Linked DNA regions of Pelodiscus sinensis. The protein of the gene in region 3 interacts with the protein of the main gene of each other region in a biochemical or structural test. Links are inferred from orthologs where the notes say so. Each region holds a gene or a part of one and is shown on either strand. Other genes may lie near its edges. The genes, in order: MATK, BLK and ERBB2.

Region 1 (3,745 bases), on a different chromosome or scaffold from region 3:
ACAAAACACACCCATGAGGCTGACCAAACCAGCCTGTCAGGTGGAACCTGACCACTGGACGCTGTTATCTCTGACCACGCTTCCCTGGAGGAGGCTTGCTGAAAGCTCAGGTGTGAATGTTGCTCTGCTGAGCCAGAGGCAGCAGGCAGATCGGAACAGCAGGTCTTGCTATAGCACTGAGAAAGCGTTGAAGCATCACGCACAGGAAGAGGACAACGATGCTCTCTACTGGCTCCTACCTACCAAAGGGAGAGCACTTCTGGCTCAGCTAGGAGTGATCAGTCCTGCACTGGCGGGGGTCGGGGTAGCTGGGCTTACAGGTTTCCAGTGATTGTCATGCTGAAGGAAGTTGGCTGCTGGCCAGCCCTGGGAAGAACAAACCAGAGGGCAAGTTTCTGCACCCGACCCAGCCTCTTGTGAGACTGGCTCAATGCAGCCATTGCTAGGTTAAGAGGGGGGTTCACGACCTCACGGTGGCAGTTTTGATGATGCAAGTGCCTGGTCTACCAAGCTCATTCACAGGAGTCAGCACCCGGCATCTTGGGAGGGTTAAAGTTGGTTGTTTTGGTCCCTTGCCGTTCCCAAGCGGTGGGAAAGGCCTGACAGTAGGCGCGGGTCTGTGAGACGCTTTGTCTGCATGGATCCCACTGCTGAGATTCATGGGCCCTACCGGTGGAAACCTCATGCACAAATAACTGAAGATCCATCCAGATGAGAAGCTCCTGTCCAATGCCTCTCATGACCGGCAGTCCCGATCTGTCGGGCCTAGGGGACAGGAAACGCTAGCCCCGACCCAGCGGTGGGCAACCTGCAGCCGGCCAGGGTTGTGTGTGTGGCTCGTGAGATAGTGCTGCCATTGCCAGATTCTGCTGATTTTCATCCACATCGATTTTTCCTACCGACGTGACCCGCACATAAAGCCAGGGCGTGTGAAGTGAGGAGGGCGCTGACTGTGAGAGCTGCGCGCTCCCCCGCATCCAATCACAATGCTGCCACGGCTCAGTCGCTCCATCCTGCAGTGAGCGGAGCTACCCCATCCCAGGAGACTGCCCTGGCGCCCACAAACTTACAGTCCACTGAGATGAAGGAGGGCCGCTCGTGCAGCTCCCCCACTAGGCTAGGTTGCCCCTCCCAGTCCTGAACTGTTCCACCCCTTTGGAACCACTTTTGATTGCTGTAGCCTGTGCAATTGCAGGTCTCTGACATGCTCCTGGAGATATCGAAACATACAGCCCAGCCCGTTCACTGCGTAGTCCTGCCTGGCACAAGTGCACTGGACAAGTGTCTGCATCAGTGCAAACAGCAGTGGAAGAGCTGGCAACTGTGCAGACAGGTTACAGGAAACCTACCCACAGCTCGGTGTCAGACAGCAGACTGGCGGTGCCGCACACACTGCCCCCCTCCCATCTACCCACCACATGGGGTCAGACGGCTCCCTGAGCACAAGCACCCGCTGAGACAGAGGGCAGCTTATTGTCTTGCAGCACCAAGGGGAGGACACTGCTGTTTATCCCGCTGAGTGTAGCACTTTGAAGGTCCCCAGCGCTTCTGGCCTCCTGGAGGGGAGAAGGTAAACGTATTACCCAGCCGCGGCTACTGCCCTAGCCAGACCCTGTGCTTACCTTCCTGCAGCACCCATGCAAAGCCCTTGGCACCAAAGTCGTTGCAGGTTTGCTCACTGCCAAGCCAAGCCCAGACCTGAGTCGCAAGAACTTGTAGAATAAATTCCCAGTTCAAATGATGGAGCAGAACTTTACCTCCTGCGCAGCCGTGTTCACAGAACAGCCACTCTGAGAAACTCCTCTCCGCTTTATTTCCTGATTTCTCTTTGAGGCTGGGCTGCAGAGGCAGTGCCTTGGAGGTCCTAGTGCCTGCTTTTATGCAGCCAGTTTTAACCAGAGATGATTCAGTCTTCGATGACGCTTTACCCCGAGGTGACTTTAGCCCCCTTGCTGCACAAGTTCACATCCCAACAGAGGAAGTATCAGCAGCTGTCTGATTTGAAACCATGCAGCAGTTTGTGACACCCAAGCAAACTAACAATCAGCTGATATGAAACAGTGAGTTATTGTTCTGCTACTCCCTGTTTTGTGGTGGTGCCCACACAAACGTCCCAGACATTGTGCTCAGCAAGTGACAAAACGAGAATTACCGTGTGGCAGGGGAGATTTTGAACATTTTGGAAGGAAAATGTTCTGGCCCTAGCCCATAGGTGTGCGCAGCACATCTCATTAGGGTGTGCCCCAAAGAATTTTTTAAAAATTTACTTTGACTCCCATTAGCCACAACCCTGACCCCAGTTAACCACGCCCGACCCCCATGGGCCACACCCCCTGACTCCCATTAGCCACAACCCTGACCCCAGTTAACCACGCCCGACCCCCATGGGCCACAGCTCTGGAGGTAACACTCTGGGGGCAAGATGGACACATGGCCAGAAGTAAATGGTGTCATGTGACCCCCCCCTAAGGACTTTTCCCACCATCCTCCTACCAATAGGGATTAGTTTGCCTCCCCCCCCAACTATCTGCAGTTGCATTACCCCAATGTGTGTGACCTGCCCTCCTCCACCAGCCCTTCTCTCCCCTGTGCCCACTCCTCCAGTAGCCCCACTCTGATCATGTGAGCTACCCCTCCTCATCCCCCCTCCTAACACCTCCCCTGCCTCTCTCCCCTGGTGCTGGTCCCTCCCCTGCAGGTGTCTGCCCTTCTGCTTCACCCCCAGAATCCCCTGGCACCTGCACCTTCCCTTAGCCCTGAACCCTCCTGGTGCCTCCCCCTTCCCTCACTGCCCCTGCCCCCTTTTTCCCTGATGCCCACCCCCTCACCTCCTTCTGCCCCCATTCCCCTCATGCCCCTGTGCCCTCGCACATGCCTTGCTCCATCCCCGCCCTTCTCATGCCCACCCCTTCTTTCAAGCCTTTTCCCAGCACCTCCCCCTCCTCGCTCTAACCCTCAATGCCCCTCTCCTCTCCTAGCATCACCCTGTCCCCCCTCCTCCCCTCCTGCCCCTTCCTCTTCCACCTCTTCCTCGTATTTTCCCCCCTTCTCCTCCCCTTCCTTACCTTACCTTCGGTTTCTGCCTTCTGATTCCTGGGGCTGGAGTCTGAGCTGGCCCAAGCTACAGGCTGGCCAGGCCCTAGTCTGGGCGCCTCCAAGGTGCCGCGTGGTGCTGCTGGGCGGGGCGAGGGCGCCTCCAGGGAGCCTCAGTGGGGCCGTGCGGTGCTGCCGGGCTGGGTGGGCGCGTCCCCAGGGCACTGCGTGGTGCTGCTGGGCCGGGCAGGGTGCCTCCGGGGAGCCTCACTGGGGCCGCGCGGTGCTGCCAGGCTGGGCAGGGGCGTCCCCAGGGCGCAGGGCGGTGCTGCCAGGCTGGGGGGGGTGCCCCTGGGTACACAAAGGGCGGTGCTGCCGGGTCTGGGGTGCAAAAATGGCTCAGGCCAGCTGGTGTTTTCGGGCCTCCGCCCCAGCTGCTTCTGGAGCTGGGCCACACGGTTTGAAAGTCCCAGGCCGTGACGTCATGCCACGCCCGGGCATCTTACCTCTTGCGCGGCGTTTGAGCACGCCATGCATGCTCCCTCTCTGCTCCACAGTGCCCTGGTGATGGCTGTGGGGAATTTAAAGTGAGGGGCTGCGGCGCCTCGTCACAAATCCCTCTCCTCCTCCAGCAGCCGCTAGCTGGCCGGAGACATTAGGGTGTGCCTGGGTTCACCCCATGCGCACGCCTATGCCCTAGCCCAATCCCCGG
Region 2 (3,745 bases), on a different chromosome or scaffold from region 3:
AAGTTGCAGTGGGGGAGGTCTAGGTTGGAGATTAGGACAAACCATTTCCCTAGGCGGGTGGGGAAGCCCTGGGCTGGGTTCCCTAGGGAGGGGTGGAATCTCCATCCCTAGGGGTGTTTAAGTCCCAGCTGGACAAAGCCCTGGCTGGGACGATTGAGTTGGGGCTGGTTCTGCTCTGGGCTGGACTCGGTGACTCCTGAGGTCTCTTCCAGCCCCGTGATTTTATGAAATGTTTGGGGAAGAACCTGCATTTCTGCAAAAGGGGATTTGGGGCAGTGGCTCCCCCAGGCCGGGGAGACTGGACTGAAGAACTCATATCTTCTGTGGTGTGAGGGGGCTTTGCGTTGTCCCGTGGACTATCCAAAGAGTCACACCCTGCACGTGAATGCAGATTCCCAGTCACGTTTTGCAAGAGCCGAGCATCTCCCCAAAGAGGGAAATCTGGTAGCTCCTCCCCCTCAGGCAAATTTTATCTTTTACATCTGATGTCCCAGAAACTCCCCTTCTGTGTGCTCAGCCTTCCCCATCCTGCTCTCATTTACCATCGGACTCCACCCCAGAGGTGGCTGCATTTCAGTGGCGAAATGGTTTCTGTGAAAACGGGGCTCGATTCCGTGTCAGCTGGTGAGCCCTTCCTCCCCCTGGGAAGTCAACGGGAATCGGTGCCACCGCATGGCCAGTAGCACCGCTTGCACCACCCCCCGGGAGAGATGGTCCCACCCTCTTGAGCTTCACAGCGCTGCCCAAGGGATCCCTCCCCCCAATTGGCTGCCTTCCGCTTCCCCACCTCCTGGGGGAAAGCAGCCAATCAGGACTGCAGCAGAAGGAGGGCAGATCTCTCCGCGTTCCCCATGGCTCTGCTCCCCCCCGCTTTGCTCCTGTAATGGGTCAGTCTGCTCTCAGCTCCTCCCCCCACCCCCTTCAATGCCAGACCTGAGGATGGGGAAAAGGGGATTTGGGGCAGTAGCTCCCCCAGGCTGGGGAGGCTGGAGGGAAGAACGCCTAGAGCAGGGGTGTGCTGAGGGGCAAAGGGCAGCTGTGGGTAGTATTGATGTGGGGCTGTGGGTGCGTCATTCCTTCTGGGGGGGCAGAAGGGAGGTTGGACCGGCACAGCATGAGTTGGGGGGGCAGGAATGGGAGTTCCACGTGATCAGGCAGCGTGGGAGGCGAATCGGTGTAATTTCTTCTCCACGGGGTCCTCTGTCCACAGCAGGGCCCAGATCACCCTCCTCTCAGCATTTTGGGAGAATGGGAAACATGGCAATGTCCCATAGAGCCTCGGGGGTGAGAAGGGAGAACTAGGGGTCACCAGATGAAATGAATAGGCGGCAGGTTTGAAACTAACAAAAGGAAGTTTTTCTTCATGCAGCGCACGGCCAACCTGTGGAACTCCTTGCCGGAGGAGGCTGTGAAGACCAGGACTTTAACTGGGTTCAAAAAAGAACTAGATAGATTCATAGAGGTTAGGTCCATTGATGGCTATTCGCCAGGCTGGGCAGGGATGGTGTCCCTAGCCTCTGTTTGTCAGGGGCTGGGAATGGGTGACAGGAGAGGGATCACTGGATGATTCCCTGTTCTGTTCCCTCCCTCTGGGGCACCTGGCATTGGCCCCCGTGGGCAGACAGGCCATTGAGCTAGATGGGCCTTCGTTCTGACCCAATCTGGCCATTCTGATGTTCAAAAGTCAAAAGACAGATCAATATCACACGATTTGGGAACCAGTCTTGGTGATGTTTCAGGGTCAGGCACAGGACATTTGAACATTGGGGGGGCTGGCAATATTGGGTGAGTCGTAAACCTGGGCTAGTATGCTGGCATCCGCGTATGAGAATCTGGCCTAAAATTGCTGGAGCCCTTTGGGTTGAAAGCACCACACTGGTCAGCTTCTGAAATCCTTAGCCCAGGGGAATGTAATTTAGCTGACGTGTGTCAGCCTCGTGACCATTGGGCAAGTAGGAATGCTGCCCCTGTCACCCACACCCTTACTGGGGGTGGTTCCCTGTCCCATGGAGTGGCACTTAGACCGCTTACAGAAAAAATAATGAATCCTTTAGCTCACGTACAAATTGCCAGAGGTCCCAGGCTCAGTTCTGCCCGCACTACACAAACTTTCTGTGCACCCCAAGTTTCCATAGTTTGCTGAGAACCTTTTGTATGCTCATGTGGCAACTCAGAACACAGCTCAATTGTGACCTCAGCTAGGACTTGAACCCACATGCTCTAGTTTAAAAGGCCAGTACCATCCCTGTTCCACCACAGAGGGCAGATGAGCCACCTTGCCAAGAGTGTTTAGTGGCCAGCATGGGGCATGACCCCCTCTCCCCCACCCTGGCATTATTAGCATCACACTCTAGCCAGCTAAGCTAGCTGGCCCAAGAAGTTTTCCTCCTCTTGTTAATCAGATGACTTGCCTGTCTTGCCCGCTTCCTGTTGTTTCCACTGAAGAACTGATTAGCCGCGGCCAGCAGGGAAATCAAACTCATCTTGTAGCTTGCAGACCTCTTACTTGGCATAGTGTAACCCACTGGGTAGCCTGTGTTACTGGCCCCCTTCTGTGTCTATCTACCGAAGCCGTGTGGGTCCCTGGTGCGTCCAGTGAGAGAGCTTTATCACTAGGTGCATCGTCTGCTCTCAATCCTTGAGGCGTTGGCCAAGAGGTGGGGCCTCACCACAGCACCGGATGCGGGTGTAATGTTACATTCCTCAGCTCGGCCCGGCCACGCACATGGAAAGTGGAACAGCAGCCCCCTGGAAGCAACTCTGCCACCCCTCCGAGGCCTGGTCTACACTGGAGGGGAAGGTCGACCTAAGCTACGCAACGCCGGCTCTGTGAGTTGCATAGCTGGAGTCGCCGTGCCTTAAATCCCCGTCCACACAGCGGGAGGCCGATGGGCGCGCACGGTGCCACTTGCTTCCCTTACTCCTGGCAGAAGGAGAAGCACTGGACGCCAGCGGGGGATGACTTCAGCATTCAATTGAGCGGGCCTGCGCTAGACCCGCTAAATCAAACATTAGAAGATCAACTTCTTCTCTGTAGTGCAGAGACACCCTGAGAGGACATAACATAGGCAGGCTTGTAAAGACATTAAGGCTCCCTTATTCTTTTGCACAAGCGTGTAGGGCGAGCGATGATTTTACATCAACTTAAATAATTAGAGGTGATCAAAAAATGACACTTTTTCAATTTAATTTCCTGATCTATCTGTCTGTCTGTCTGTCTATCTATCTATCTATCTATCTATCTATCTATCGAATCATAGAACGGGAAGGGACCTCGAGAGGTCATCAGGTCCAATCCCCTGCCCTCATGACAGGACCAAGCACTGTCTAGATCATCCCTGACAGGTGTCCGTCCAACTTGCTCTTAACTATCTCCAGAGATGGAGATTCCACAACCTCCCTAAGCAACTTATTCCAGTGTTTCACCACCCTGACAGGTAGGAATTTTTTCATACTGTCCAACCTAAACTTCCTGTGCTGCAATTTCAACCCATTGCTTTTGTCCTGTCTTCAGAGGCCAAGGAGAACAATTTTTCTTCCTCCTCCTTGTAACACACTGTCTATATAATCTGGTGTTCAAAAACCTGACCCAGAAACATCGCTGGGGTCTCTGAAAATTTGAAACAATTCACTTCTCAGTAGAAATGTTTGGTTCCTAAATTTGATTTCTTCCTCTTTCCCTCCACCCCAGCTGTCTGCATCGAAGAAGCAGAAAAATTTGCCCAAAGCAAATAAGTAGGTTATA
Region 3 (3,745 bases):
CATTCATTGAAACTTTTTTCCCCCCGGATATTCCAATCCCGACAAACACAAAGCATCTTATTGGCATCTCACCTGGAACAGGTGATTCAGAATTCAGTGCCCACTTTCTGTTACGATCGCATCAGCTTCACAGGATTGGGCATGCATGTGGGACGCCCAGATACACACACAAGCACACAGGAAAACCCAAGCAGGGCACCAAACTTGGCAGGTGACGCTCTTTCAGAACTAACGTCCCACTGTGGCAATAAGGGGCAGGTTTTGGCTGATGTATCAGCTGAAATCCTTTAAGATCCTGAGGGATTATCTCATCTCAGGAGGGAGGAGGGAGTTAGCTCGACTGTCCTACCCAATTCCAAACTGAGTAGATACATTTTGCCGCTCTACATCCCCTTCACTCCTGCAGATTCAACTGAAGGAGTTTTCCCCTTCACTTTGTCCCTCAAACTGTTGGATAGTGTTGTTCTGTAGTATTAGGCAGCTAACACTGCCCACCTCCCCCGACACCAATAGGACCTTGTGAGTGAAGTTACTCCTGTATATGTAAAGTCTCTGACGGGCTGCAGGATGAGCGGTCCTCGATAAGATACTGTTATCTGAGAACTTTTCACTAAATATGGTGTATTGATGGGTATAAAGTAAACGTGCCAAATTTGCAAGTCCTAGTCCTACTTCCGCTAAGACATCAGAAAACAAACACTAAGTAAAGATTTAGGTTTCTGCTATGGATTATGTATCTACATCCAACATACTGGGCAACTCCCTTGGGCATCAGTAGCTAGAATTTCCTGTGTAAACCATGAGTGCTAACGAACTACAAAATGTAACTCGCCAATAACACTCGGCCCCACCGTATTTGACTACAGTAAACAGCTTGACACTCATCAACAGCAGACAAGATGGATGAGGTGGGAACATTTTCAATAAACAACTTGCCTTCAGCATAAAGCAACGAGGCTAAAATCTTTCTGGCCTTACCTACTTCCTTGTCATAAATACTGAAACATGCAAAATAAGCATTTACCTGTGACCCGCCCCCTCACCACAACTGACTGGAGTCCTCCCCTCTGCAATTTGTAATATAAACTCCTTTCCAGACTATTACATTTGTGGGTGAGATAGAAAACAATTGGCCGGGTAAACTATTCCTGGGAACAGGATTCATCTGGAGAGGGTGGGATTTCCCACCCAAAGCAAAATACGATTAAAACGGAAAAAAATGCACCTTGTTTCGTTTATCCAAACACCTTTGAAAGTGCTAAGTCTGACCCAGGCCTCTGCCATTGTACAGAACCATGGGAGGAGTGACTCTAGGCAGTGCCTAGCCACACAGCTCTCTAGATCCCAGCCTGCACCTTTAGGGTCTGCAGGAGATTGTCATTTTCCTAGTAAGTAAGCCGCATGGAGCTTATTTTTGTAAAGCCACTGGTTCCGTGGGACAGCCCCCAAGGAAGCAAGGGAGTGAGAGAGAGAAACCATTTTAAAAACCTGCCAAGGTCTCCCCTCCCTGACACTCCCGGGGCAACTCGATTTTTCTGGCAGGTCTGAAGGGGGGGGAGAAGGAGTCAGAGTCCCCGGGAAAGAAAAGCAGCGATCGCTCTTCGGGGCGGGATCAAACCCCACAACCCATGGAAACAGGCTCCCTACTGAAGTGGCTCTGCCGGGCTGAATCCTCGCTAAGGACTCGTGGGACCTAGTCGCTGCCAGGATCGCTGAAGTCGTGAACCAAGGCTGCACCCTTTTACCCCACTGCCCCCCTCCCTCCCCCATGGGAGGCTCATTCCTGCGTGCTCGGGAGCTCCCGGGGCAACCCCGCGCCGATCGGCAGCGCTAGGTTCGCTCTCCGGCTGGATGCACGGGACACAAAACTTCTGCAAAGTTTGTTGGGTGGGCCCCCCTCTTCGCCCCCCCCCCCTTTCCCGCGGCTGGCTGGGCGCTTCCCAGCTCCGCTTTCCTTCGCCCACATCCCAAGCTCCCCCCCCCCCCCCTCGGAACTTTCCCTCTTTCCTCGCGCCCCGCACAAACTTTTCCCCAGCCCGGACCCACCGTCGTGGCTGCGGCCGCCGGGCAGGCAAGCGGCGAGGAGCAGCCCCATGCAGAGCCAGCCGCTGCTGGGGGGGGTCATTGTCTTCACTGCGGGCTGCAGCCCATGGCTCCGGGGTCTCTGCCGCGAGGGGGGGGCGGGGTCCCCCTGGCTCTGCGAACCCAGCGTCGTGCCCGCGCGGCACTTCCTCCTCGGGGCGGCGGGGACGCGCCGCGCGCCCCCGCGCGGGATTCCAACTCCCCTGGGAGTGGCGAGGCGCGGGCGCGCCCGGAGCCTGGCGCGCGTCCTGGGGGAGCAGCGCCTTGGATGCCCCGGCTGGCTCTGCCCTCCGGGGGGCGCGCCCGGAGGCTGCAGAGGGAGGAGGAGGAGAGCGAAAGATAAAAGGGCCGGGGGATGCCCCCTCCCTGGGCCATCTCTCCCCGGAGAGGCGAGGCGAGGCTCGCCAAGCGCTCCGAGGACCGTTCCGGAGCAGGGAGCTTCCTTCCCGAGCTAGGGGACCGGGCCGGGGATATTAGCCCCTGCCCGCGCCGTCTGGGATCCAGGGGCGGGTCTTTCTCAACTCTGCAAACACCTGCAAAAGCAGCTGGGTTTTCAAGTGGAGGGGCGGGGGAGTTCGACTCTCTCGCCCCATCTTTCTGTGCCCAAAGGGGTGGGGCACCTCAGGCCCGGGGCCTCCTAGTTTGCCTGGATCTGGCCCCCGAGGCTTAGGGCGCCCCCCCCAACACTGGGGAGCCTACACTGGTGCTTCAGCCCCCCTCCCTGCAGAGCTGGAGTGGGCAAAATGTACTAGCCTAGCCCCCCAAGCTCTGGTGCAGGAGGGGAATGTGGAGAGGGTCTTTCTCTTTCTCAGTGAGGGTTTGTTGGTTTGCTTGCTTCTCACCAGTGTGCTGCCCCCGACTGATTTTTCTCTGGATCAGCATCCCCCCCCCAAAAAGGTTCCCCACCTCTGGCCTGAACGGAGGCTGAGGGTTTGAAACTCTGCCGTGACTGCGGGTGTCGGACCCTTCTGAAAATTCTGGCCTCCTGCTCTACTTTGTAAGGGCGCTGAGTGCCCAGAGGCAGGGAGTCCGTGGAGGGCCTGAAACAATCGCCCGAGGGGCAGGCACTGGCCTCGGGGGAGGAGGTTAACTCAGAAAACGAATGAGCGCTCATGGCTGCTCCGTGTGAACAGAGCTCATTTTGCTACTGGCCAAGGTGGGCGTGAACAGGATGGTGCGATGGTGCAGAGCTGGAAGTAAAGAGAGGGGTTTGGTTTATGAGCAAAAGAACGGCCACACTGCATCAGCCCGGTGGCCCATCCAACCCAACCCAGCATCCTCTCTATGATGGTGGCCAGATGCTTCAGAGGGAATGAACAGAACAGGGCACTGTTGAGCGACCTATCCCTGCTGTCCAGCTCCAGCTTCTAGCAGTCCAAGGTTTAGAGGGTTGTGTCCCGAATCATCTTGACTCATAGCCATTTACGAACGTGCGCTCCGTGAACTTACCTATGGGCTGAATGTGGTTTGAGGGTGGAACTAAGAATGTTAAAGACAAGTCAACTGGTTGACTATCAGATAAGCATTTGCTTATCAGATAGTTTTTTGACTAGTCTATAGGCACTTCCGCATTCTTCCTTTGAAATGTACAAGAGCCCCAGTAGGAGCTCTTGTACATTCCAAAGGAGGAATGCGGAAGGGGCTCTTGTACATTTCAAAGGAG

Evidence for each region.
Region 1: the proteins of ERBB2 (region 3) and MATK form a complex in vitro, tested with the Homo sapiens proteins (2 studies listed by BioGRID and IntAct, with this or other methods). The link is inferred for Pelodiscus sinensis from reciprocal best matches to the Homo sapiens genes ERBB2 and MATK.
Region 2: the proteins of ERBB2 (region 3) and BLK form a complex in vitro, tested with the Homo sapiens proteins (2 studies listed by BioGRID and IntAct, with this or other methods). The link is inferred for Pelodiscus sinensis from reciprocal best matches to the Homo sapiens genes ERBB2 and BLK.

What each region holds. Positions count from the first base shown.
Region 1 is NC_134729.1:30,054,688-30,058,432, forward strand, and holds the start of MATK (megakaryocyte-associated tyrosine-protein kinase), read right to left. Parts: upstream 2,249-3,745; 5' UTR 1-2,248.
Region 2 is NC_134713.1:2,660,427-2,664,171, reverse strand, and holds the start of BLK (tyrosine-protein kinase Blk), read left to right. Parts: upstream 1-890; 5' UTR 891-2,725; coding exon 2,726-2,829; intron 2,830-2,835; exon of another isoform or gene 2,836-3,158; intron 3,159-3,745. UniProt on the Homo sapiens protein: Non-receptor tyrosine kinase involved in B-lymphocyte development, differentiation and signaling. B-cell receptor (BCR) signaling requires a tight regulation of several protein tyrosine kinases and phosphatases, and associated coreceptors.
Region 3 is NC_134739.1:11,545,581-11,549,325, forward strand, and holds the start of ERBB2 (receptor tyrosine-protein kinase erbB-2), read right to left. Parts: upstream 2,252-3,745; 5' UTR 2,126-2,251; coding exon 2,047-2,125; intron 1-2,046. UniProt on the Homo sapiens protein: Protein tyrosine kinase that is part of several cell surface receptor complexes, but that apparently needs a coreceptor for ligand binding. Essential component of a neuregulin-receptor complex, although neuregulins do not interact with it alone.